Caenorhabditis elegans: one gene and its partners. The protein of the gene in region 3 purifies or fractionates together with the protein of the main gene of each other region. This does not show direct contact. Each region holds a gene or a part of one and is shown on either strand. Other genes may lie near its edges.

The links.
Region 1: the proteins of C16C10.4 (region 3) and rsp-3 fractionate together in Caenorhabditis elegans (co-fractionation; one large-scale study listed by BioGRID). This does not show direct contact.
Region 2: the proteins of C16C10.4 (region 3) and pnn-1 fractionate together in Caenorhabditis elegans (co-fractionation; one large-scale study listed by BioGRID). This does not show direct contact.

What each region holds. Positions count from the first base shown.
Region 1 is NC_003281.10:12,686,201-12,689,591, forward strand, and holds rsp-3 (putative splicing factor, arginine/serine-rich 3), read right to left. Parts: upstream 1,717-3,391; 5' UTR 1,707-1,716; coding exon 1,537-1,706; intron 1,490-1,536; coding exon 1,102-1,489; intron 1,036-1,101; coding exon 817-1,035; 3' UTR 501-816; downstream 1-500. Other genes in the region: spin-4 (Major facilitator superfamily (MFS) profile domain-containing protein), read left to right, coding at 2,127-2,166, 2,222-2,376, 2,429-2,569. UniProt on the Caenorhabditis elegans protein: Plays an essential role in embryogenesis.
Region 2 is NC_003283.11:12,969,361-12,973,828, reverse strand, and holds pnn-1 (Pinin/SDK/MemA protein domain-containing protein), read right to left. Parts: upstream 2,720-4,468; 5' UTR 2,713-2,719; coding exon 2,615-2,712; intron 2,567-2,614; coding exon 2,414-2,566; intron 2,362-2,413; coding exon 1,998-2,361; intron 1,954-1,997; coding exon 1,722-1,953; intron 1,053-1,721; coding exon 820-1,052; 3' UTR 549-819; downstream 1-548. Other genes in the region: shw-3 (BTB domain-containing protein), read left to right, coding at 1-98, 157-261, 310-417; lin-46 (MoeA N-terminal and linker domain-containing protein), read right to left, coding at 3,252-3,635, 3,695-4,064, 4,173-4,389.
Region 3 is NC_003281.10:4,169,713-4,172,805, reverse strand, and holds C16C10.4 (putative histone deacetylase complex subunit SAP18), read right to left. Parts: upstream 1,471-3,093; 5' UTR 1,467-1,470; coding exon 1,285-1,466; intron 1,160-1,284; coding exon 979-1,159; intron 879-978; coding exon 741-878; 3' UTR 583-740; downstream 1-582. Other genes in the region: Argonaute protein hrde-1, read left to right, coding at 1-37; E3 ubiquitin ligase rnf-121, read left to right, coding at 1,867-1,917, 1,990-2,169, 2,222-2,376, 2,420-2,556, 2,607-2,698, 2,757-2,908. UniProt on the Caenorhabditis elegans protein: Acts in transcription repression. Involved in the tethering of the SIN3 complex to core histone proteins.

The DNA of each region.
Region 1 (3,391 bases), 8.5 Mb from region 3:
TTTCTGTTTTCAATAATAATTTAAAAAAGTAAAAACACAAGTCAAAAATTCAAAATTTTTATTCGAAATTCCAAGTCGAAACTCACCTGGCTGATTCATTTTTGTGAGCCGGGAAGCGGGTCACCGGCTCACCTGAACATGGCGGATTAGTTTTTTCTCATATTCGAGGGGATTTTCCTAATAGATTTCGGGGTTTTCGAACCCAAAACTGTAAAATTTTTCCTTCTTTTTACTCTCGTCAGGTCAAAATTTAACTAAATTATGTTCCTAACAATACCCAGGGGGCAAATCCAAAACTTTTCCCATAAAATCCTTTTTCCGGGGGTCCTAGTGTGTGTGTGTGTGTGTGTGTGTCGATTCGAAAATCGTGTAAAAACCGATTCGATCCTCGATCGATATGGTGTGTCCCCGCTTTTGATCGTCCAGCGATCCTTTAGTTTCCCTCCTTATAGAGTCCTCCTCCTTTCCTCCAATAGTTTGAATGAAGCGGAGTGGAGGCTGAAACAAAACATTTTATTCGTGGTTCCTCCAACAAAAGAAATTATTGAATAATAATAGGTGGGGCTGATGAATACTTGGATGTGGTTGTTTGAATTAAGGATAGGTGATAAAAAATAGAAGAAATTGTGGATATATATATCCAAAAAGATCGATAAAAAGAAAAAGGTGTGTGTAAACAGGAGAACATGAGGCATGGAATTGTATTAGAAACAGCACAAAAAAAAAGAAATTAGCAAGATATAGTTGTATCAGAACTCTCTGTCAGACGACTCAAATTGCAAAACGATACCGTTTCAAGAATCAGACGCTGTCTCTTTATTGTGGAGATGGTGAGCGAGATGGACTGCGACTGGCCGAGCGAGAACGAGAGCGGGAACGGCTGCGAGAGCGGGAACGAGAACGACGAGGTGAGTACTTTGGCGAAGCACGACGTTCGGCTCTTGGAGAGCGCGAACGGCTACGATCACGGCCACCACCACCGCTTCCGCCTCCAGAAGAGTTGTCCTCACGAACGCGAATGTAGGCAGTTTCACCCTGAAAAAGAAAAATTTAATTCAATTTTTGATTTATTTTATAGTTTCAAAAATAGTAAAAACTCACCTCATGTGATCTGAACTTGGTGTCATCAAGCTTGCGAACAGCGTACTTGACATCCTCGTAACGAGTAAACTCGACGACTCCAGTTCCATCTCGAGCCACATCCGCATAGCAGACGTCTCCAGCATCACGCATATGATCCTTAAGATCCTGCCACGACCCGGTTGGTGGAAGACCTTCAACGATCACTCGGTATCCGGTTCTTCTCTGAGGTCCACCTCCACGACCACCACCACGTCCTCCTCGGAAGTCTCCACCGCGGTGATCACCTCCGTCTTGGAGTGGGCGACCGCCTGGGCCACGTGGTCCGACTCCACGAGTGAACTCGACGCGAATGCGACGGCCATCGAATTCGTAGCCATCGCGAGCACGAACCGCATCCTCGGCATCTCTGGAATAAAATTGATTAATTAAAGTATTTGAAATCAATAAACGAACCTGTGATCTTCGAACTCGACGAAAGCGAACGCCGGTCCACGTCCTGACTTGATATCGACGTACTTGATGCGGCCATACTTGTGGAAAATGTCCTCGACTTCCTTCTCTCGGACGTCTCCTGGCAGGTTGCCAACGTAGACTTTTTGGTCCTCTGAGCCGCCGCGTGGCATGTTTAGTACACTGAAAATGAAGAAATAATTATGATTATTTGCAAAAAATCGGCGACTGAAGATTATTGATAATAAAAAAAATACTGGGCCTAAAATCCTTCAAATTACTGCATTTACTTGACTGAAAAGAAACCCAGAATCGAGTAAAATTTAGAAAAATGAATATTCTCAAGCATTTCTTCGAAAAAATAATAAAAATTGTCTGAAAAAACAAGAAATGAGTGTGCCACGGCCTTCGTTTTCGAAAAAATAACGACCGCGACGCGACCGCAACGCGTCATATGAGCATTCTCCCGCCAAGTTTGAACGAGTTCGGTGGAGCGCGCCTGCGTTATTTTTAGTCACGTATTTTTTTATTTTTTGTGGTTTTCGGTTTTTTATTAGAAAATAAGAAAAAATAATAAATTTCAGAAATTCTAAATGCCAAATGAAATTGAGGAAGGCAGTGGTTTGGACGTTGGTGAGTTTTTAATCGAAAATTTAATTATTTAAATCGAAAAACTTGATTTTTTCAGCCTCCCGACTTGCTGGAAAGAAGAAATGGGTTACTTGTTCCATTCTGCTTCTCGTAAACCTGCTAAACTACATGGATCGATACACAATCGTGGGAGTTATGTCGCGGCTTGCAACATTTTTCGATATCGACGATAAGGGGCAAGGCCTTTTGCAAGTAAAAATTGAATAAAATTGTGGAATATTAATTAAAAACCGAATAATTTCAGACAGTTTTCATTGTGTTCTACATGTTTTTCGCGCCATTATTCGGATATTTGGGTGATCGATACAATCGAAAAATGCTAATGATCACTGGAATTTGCATATGGATTTTAGCAGTCTTTGCATCGTCTTTTTGTGGGGAAGGGGTAAGGGAAAAGGGAAAAAAACGATAATAGAAAGGAAATAATGTTGGAATAAATTACTAAGACAGTCTGAGCCCACTTCCAGTGGTAGATCAAAAGGCGGAGCCAAAAACGCGGGAAAATCGCGGTCTGGAGGTCAATGAGCCCGATGGGAAGGCTCTAGAGGTCAATCCAATAATGGAATAATGACACCGAGAAGAGAGAAGATAAAAAATGACGTTTATAACGCTTTTTTTGGCAATTTTTGCAAAAATCATGCGAAAAATGCTATTTTGTGGCAAATTTTCACTGGAAATACACAAATTCTGAATATTTTGCCGCGAAAATCGAATAAAAAGAGAAAAAAAAGAATATTTTTGTAAAAAAATTCCTATAAAAAGCGGAAAAATTACCAAAATTCTAAGATATTTTTTGGAATATCAAAAAAAAAAGTGCTTCAAAATTTTGAAGAAAAAAAATTTAAATCTGAGTTTTTTGGGGCAATTAATGCATTTTTCACCAAAAAAAGAACACAAATTTGGATTTTTGTGAAAAATATTCTTTAAAAAAGCGGAAAATGTCCAAAATTCTGAGAAAAAACTAAAAAAAAAAAAAAAAATTTTTTTGCAATTTTTTTGAAAAATCCCTCAAGTGAATAATGCGTTTTTTCTCCAAAAAATTGATTTTTGTGAAAAATATTCTTAAAAAAGCGGAAAATGTCCAAAAATCAGAAAAAATGGAGTTTTTTTTTCAATTTTTTTGAAAAATCCAAAAAATACTGATTTCCGGCCATTTAAGATAGGGCTTCCAGGTAGGCGTTGAAACGCCTGCCTGCCTGACCTCAAG
Region 2 (4,468 bases), on a different chromosome or scaffold from region 3:
TTGGCTATGGTGACATAACACCTCATACATATCTGGGCCGCCTGATTGGTTCGATTTGTGCTCTCGCTGGTGTATTGACAATCGCTTTGCCAGTTCCAGTATGTTTTCCATTTATTATTCAAATTAATGTTGCCAGTTTTGAATTTTAATTTCAAGGTCATCGTCTCTAACTTCGCCATGTTCTATTCCCATACACAAGCTCGTTCAAAGATGCCCAAGAAAAGACGAGGAGTGCTCTCAATGGATCAAGTTGCTCAGCATGTAAGTAAAATATTCTAGGGGAGGCATTCGTGTATTTCAAACTTTCAGGTAAAACATGCTCCGGTTCGAAATTCCAATGGACCAACGCAACGGAAGAATATGGAAAATACACCACTTGTATCCAACAACCATACACCGCCACATACCTTAATCTAGTTGTTTCATAGCCATTTTTTCCCTCAAAAAAGTTGTGACCAATTCATCATCATTTCATCAAACCCCTGACAATGACGAGTATTAGATTGATCTCAATTTTCTCAGATTTCTCCTTTCAAAGACTTTGCTAGAATAAATATTTATTATTTTTTTATCTGTCGCGAACAAAATAGACAGATCAAAAGAACGGTCAAAAAAGAACAAAACAGCAAAAATAACCAATTTAAAACTTGTGAAAAGAGAAGAGAGTAATTATTTTGGAGAACGAGGAGATTAAGGTGTTACAAAAACTTACACTTTCACGGAGATACCTGAATTTCATTAAAAATAAAAAATACGATGACCATTTGAAAGCTTCGCATTGACACACAGCACAGTCGGTACCTGAAACCTCACAACCAATCAATCAAGCTCCACATGGACATCAATATCATCTTCCTTTTCCTCATCATCTTCTGCCTTCACATCATCCTCAGTTTTTAGAACAACTACAATATCCTCGTTCTCATTCTTCTCGTCTTCTTCCTCGTATTCATCGTCTTCGTCTTGCTTGTGATCACCACGTTCTTCAGATATTTGTCTCACTCGATCTTCGAGATCCTTTTTCAGTTGTTCTTCGCGATCCGCAATTTGATCTACAAAAAAGAATATTTATATTTTATAAATAGTCAAAAGTTAATGTTTTTATTATCGTAATAATATCACGAGATCTTGGCATGCCTAATTAAAGGCGCACGGATTTATTCGGATGTGTCTCAGAGTGCAAAAAAAATTTTTTTCAACTTTTTCGACATAATTGCTCGTTCATTTTCCTTCCAGTTTGCAATAAAAATAATTAACATTTGGCGAATTGTGTCATTTTTTTCTGTTAAAAAAAGCTTAAATCAGTTAATAAAATGGAAAAGTGTTTTGTACTGAAAACTGATTTAAAACAATTTTTACAGAAAAATGAATAGAAAACGATTAAATTCTCCAAAGAGCAGTGTTTTCATTGAAAAATGTAGAGCCAAAATACGAGGAAGCGACTACAAAATTCAGAAAGGAAGACCACAAAAGTGTTTTAACTGAATTTCAGCTTCTGTGACAAGGGCAAGTTGCCCAAATTTCAGATTTTAGCAAAACCTGGTTGTTTTTGAAATTTTGGCCATCATACAAGATTTTTGAAAATGCTTCGAGTCATTATGAAATTTCGTTATTTCGGGCATCGCTTTTGAAATGCGAAATTCGACTCGTGATGTTGTAATTTTTTAACATAAAATTTTAATATAATTTAAATCATTAATAAAAATTTAGTTTCAACTAACCATCGAGTTGTCTCTCCGTGGCTTGCTTCAACTCCAACGATCGAACGGTATGCTTGACCGGTTGCCAGAAAATATGTGGGCTTGTCGTAGTCTTTATCCAGCCCTTCATAAGCTTTAATTGATTGGCATGGTGTTCGGCGTACTGGATCAATGCTTTCTTTCGCTGAAGACTTTTCAGTTCCTTCTCCTGCTCGCGTCGTTTGTTGAGGAGATCGTGTTTCTCTTCTTTTCTCTGAAAAAAACTAAATTTTTAAACTTTCATTTTTTTAACCTTACCGATTCGAAATCCTTCTTCTTGGTTTCTTCAAGCTTTTTCTCAACTTCTTCTTGCTTTTCTTGCTGAGTAGTTTTCTTTTCAGTCTTTTTGAAAGAACTCAAAGTTCCCATTATCAGATTAGAAAATAGACGACGATTTCTCTGTTTACTGTCTTTATTCTCAGTTTCTTTCAATTTTTCAATTTTTTCTTCTCTTCCTTTTGAATCAAGAGCTGGCATGACAACAGTCGACTGGATTGTTCTTTTCTGGCGTTTTCCATATTCTTCCTCGTCCGCCTCGTTCTCCAAATAATCTGGGCGTTGGCGTTTTTGATTGTCAAAGCTTTGCCGGCCACCAGTTCTGCGATCTGTTCTATCACCGACGCTGAACATATATTAATTTAAATCACGCTTCTACAAGTCCGATTTTTACAAACCTGATCCTCTTACGGACCCCACCAGGAGCTTCGATTTCCTTCCGTGTATTCCATGCACTAGCTTCATCTTTCAGTCCAAAAGCATCACGGCCAACGTTTCTCAGTGGAGCTTCTTCTGGTTCCTCGTTGTATGAAATGCGCTGACGTGGTGGTCTGAAATTCCAAGTTCTGAATTGAAAAAAAGAAGAAATCAATACAAACCTCCCATTCAAAGTAGTCACTTTGTCATCAATACTCCTCAGTTTGTCTCTGGCAGCGGTAATATCGGATTCAAGCTCTTCAACTAACATTTGATCCATTTTCAGTCTGAAAATAATCCTTTGAGAGAAAAATTGATAGAATAAATACAAATATATCAAAAACGAATTAATCATGCCAATTAAATGTTCATTAAGAAACACAATTTTTAACTGTCACAGTTCCAGTTTTCTAAATTTTTCTAAATAAATTTGAATTTTCGAAGAAAACGCCATGTTTTGGAAGATTTTGTACAGAATAACTACTATTTATTGAAATTAAAAAAGGTAATTTTGTTCTTTCAAACAAAAAAAACGAATAGAAACTCTTTTTTGCAAACACATCTGCTCAAAATGCCGCGTTTTCGTTGTGAAAAAAATGGAAATCAATTAAGTACGCAAACACGCTGCGGTGTACCAGTACCTTTTAACCAGAAATCACGACAATTGTAGACATTGAATTTATTTCAATTGAATTCTATGAAATATCATTGAAAATTAGATGTTTTTAAAGTGAAACATGTTACAGATCATATCAGAATGGAGGTATAAAAGCACCGAGTAAAAACAAAAAAAAAGGAAATATTGATACTGGTGAATTTTCATGCAAAGCGTAGATCAACCACGTCTCCGGCCGAAAAACAAGTGTTGGATTTTACTTCTAAAATCGAATTAGCTCCAAAGATATCTTCACAGCCTAGTGGTGTTGAAATTAGATTTCCCTTAGAAACTTCGCTTCGAGCTCGCAAAAATCTTGTCTCCGACGTTTTCGATATAGGTTGTGTCAGTTCAGCTTTGAACCTATGGCTTGTTTCAGAATTTTGCCCTTCCATTGCACGTAAAATTGGTGAAACAAACAGATTTGCTCCAATCCAAGATGAAACATGATATTCTGGAAAAATTGAAAGCACTACAGGGGTTTCATCAATCTTTCCAGTCGAAACGGTGAAGTTTCCTGGAGTTGAGTCTACATCTTGAATCTCAAACTGAAAATAAATACAGTTTATGTTTTACTATCAGGTTTAAGTATCGTTATAGATCTCACTTTGAATTTCAACGTTTTAGCTACTTCCCGTATCACCTGTGCTCCTCCAACAGTCACAAGCACACAGGCAAAACTTGCAGCCGTTCGTATTTTTTCCTCAACTTCAGTAATATGCTCAGTTGAACTTCCAGCGTCAATTGCCGTAAAACCTTGAGATTGGAAGAGTTCTAGTAGTTGAGAGCGGTTGAAGCTTCCGTACATTTTATTCGAGTTTAGGTCACTTCCAATTGATAGAACACATACTCGTGGTTTCTTGTAGATTTCAACTTGAGAAATTCCAAGAGCATGAAGAAGAGTAATTGACATAGTATCTAGATGATGACCATCTTTCAGCAAAATTTCACCAGTTTTAGCTTCTGATCCTACTTCTCTGAAATATTTCAGTAAATAATGTTTATGGCTAATGAAATTTCGATCTATGTGTGTAGCTTATTATAGTTACTATTATAATATGGAATTTGATATATGAACAGCTTGCCTTATATTGTCGCCTTCTTTAGGTTTTCTCAAAACTTCGATACATTTTTCTTCTTTCAATAAAGCTACATTTTCAATCGGAACTACAGTATCCGCACCATCTGGCACCACTCCTCCGATGGTTATTCTAACGCATTCGTTAGATATTAACTCTGCGTTATATGGTGTTACAGCAGTGGATAATCCAACGATCTCTCTCTTTGTTCCGAGTTGATTGACTGAAATGTTCGATTTAAAAAATATACTACAGTAGGAATCTTGAAGTTCAATTTCAAAATTTCCAAGTTCCAAGAAATT
Region 3 (3,093 bases):
CGGAATGACCATTCCGAAGCGAAACTTCTGGGCGTAATCCCGAGATTCTCTCTTTTATTGTCACGTATTCACCCCCTTTACATATTACCAACATTTTTTATCCACTACCCTATACCTACTCTCTATACAAGTACTTAAATTCCCATGCTTTTGTTTTTCTGAACATTCTTTATTACATTTTTCCCCATAATTGTATCGTATTCCCCTTTATGTTTTTATAATTTCAACTAAGAATCCTTTTGTAATTTAATCTAGAGTAGAGTACATTGACACATAGTTTGAATAGTAGATACTCCTGTTTTACCTGCCTTTTTTTCTGTGCGAATTTCCTCCAACTTTCTTATTAGGAGTTTTCGAAGGCGAAAGAAACTTCCAATTAGAACGTTTTTGGAAATTTCGATTTTCAATAATCTTACTTGCTCTACCCCCCGTCCATTATCATTTATTAAGCAATAAATTATTCGAGAAGAAATTTTAGTTTTCGCTGAAAGCAGTTTGATCGCGATCATTTTTCCGATTTTTGCATAATCACAAAACAAAACTTTTTTAAAATTAAATAGCTTGCAATTTTGACCAGTAAATGTGAAAGTAAACTTTGTTGTAAATTGTTAAGTATGTTGAACAATTGTAAAGGAAAACATGATTTACGCAGAATATTACATTGCACGTTATAAAAAAAAGAATCGACACATTAATAAATACAGAAGAGTATCATTGAATTTTAACACACAGTTAGGCGTCTAGCGAATCGGACTACGTTGGCGTTGACGATGATCGAAACGGTCTCCCTGCTCCCGGTTATTGAAACGACGTCCTTGACTTGGCAAGGAAATCGCGACGTCGACGAAATCACCGACTTCGAATTTGCATTGTTGTAGCTGAAAAACAAAGTTCAATCAAAACGAATTTAATATTGGAGATATTATTTCCGAATTCAAATAAAATTCTAATGGTTCCGTGGTGTCAAAAATCACATACAGTTTTGTTGTCATCAATGCCACGCTCTCCATTCGTCGTGTTTCCCACATCGCGTAGAATGTATCTTGGCGAGCCGCGGTCTGCCTGCACAATAGCGAAATCGAATGTGGTGCCCTTTCTTCTAGCGTCCGGATTCACTTCTTTGATTAGACTGGTCAATTCACGCAGAGAACAGTCCATCCTGAAAATAAAAAAAATACTTCAGGTTAACCAAACTTACAAGTTTGAATGTATTATTGAAAATATTAGACAAAAGTTCTATAATTTCGGCCAAATAGTACTAATTTTTCTATTTCTACCGCGTACCAAGTATGCATTTGAAGTTCGCTGGGTGGAACAGATCCTCCATTTCTACTATTGTACTCGCTCATCGGATTATGACGATTATTAGCAACGAAGACGCGAAGAAGCATCGGACATACTTTCTCACGATCTAATGGTTTATCGTGACCAACTGTCACCTGAGACACGAGTTGACCGTTGCTCATTTTTCTGAAAAAAAAAGATAAATTTGCTCTAAAAAGGGATAATATAAAATATATTTGTTTGGTTATACAGAAAAAAGAGAAAAAAGAAGCAAAACGCCAAAATTTGCATTCGAATGTTTGTGGGCGGAGCGTTCTTTGCAACCCTGGCACACAAGATTTGCAGATATGCCGCGCGCAGATGACATTCTCCTATTTTATTTCGATTTTCACCGCAAATCTTTCTCCGACATTTCCTTGTCGCAAAGTTAACCAACTCAACTATTTTTATCAATTATTGAATTTAAAGTGTTTTTTTCGTTCAATTTTTAAAATTGGTCACTTTCCACGCGGGAGTCCGCTTTACCTTCTCGAAAAATCAATAACGTTTTCCAAAATAATTTCTATTTTTTCAGGCCATAGAATGGGCCAACATGGGGCAATTAGGCTGCAGAATGAAGTTCAGGAAGGAATGGTAAGTATTTATTGATTTTAAAATAGTTTAATTAAAAGTAAAATGATTTCTATTATAAATTTTTATTTTCAGCCCCCTCCACACGAGCTAACAGAAGAAGAACAATGGGCAGAGGAGCACCGAAAAATGCACGAAAAGCATAAAGGACACGAAGCGATGCACATGGAAATGATGGTTATTTTCATGATTTCTGTCATCGTTGGACAGATTTTTCTGGTCACCTGGAAGAGGAAGCATTTTAAATCTTATCAGGTATTTAATTTTATTAATTTTAAACATTTATTTAATATTCAAACATTTACAGATGTGTACATTAATAGGAATGCTCACAATTCCAGTTTATGTTTGTTTCAACCGATCCTGGTATCGATTCCTGGCCACGTGGCTTGTTTTCTGCATTTTTTCAGCTTTTATTTGGTTGAAAGCCTCGGCTCAACATATCAGTGGAGGAACACCAAGGTTTTTAAGAATAAAAAAGACGAATTAAACGAAATAATTTAAGATTCGTCTACAAATGGTTTCTATTTTTGCATAAACTGAGTTATGTACTCGGAGTTGTTGGATATTTGATCATGATGGGAGCTTTATTAGGATTTCATGTTTTATTCGGAGTTTCACAGCCAACACTAATGGATGCCGGTGAGAAATTTTGGAAAAATTTTGAAAAAATCTAATTTTCAAGCTTCCAGGCATCCTTTTCATGTTCTATGGTGTGTATTACGGAGTGCTCGGCCGGGATTTTGCTCACATTTGCACGGCGAGAATGGCGTCGAGAATCGGGGTAAAATACATTTTTCACCTGCTGCCGAAAAATAATCAATATAATTCCAATTTTTCAGTATTACACTCCTGAAGGACTTCCTAAAAAGCATCTAGAAGACGGTGTCTGTGCTGTTTGTGGAGGACGTCTTGATGATTCGGAACATGTTCATGATGCAGATGCTGTGGTTACAACGAAAATGGTTGAAGATGAAGATGAAAAATTGTATAAGTGAGTGGAGAAGTTCAGCAGATTTTTGGAATTTTCACTTTTTTTAATTAAAAAAAAGAATTAATAAGTAGTTTTCCAGTTTTCTTCGAGAATCACCAGAAAGCACCAAATTTTTAAAAACTGATATTATGAAGCTTTTGAACGAATTTTCATCGATTTTTCCACAGTTTTTCGTGAAATTTTTT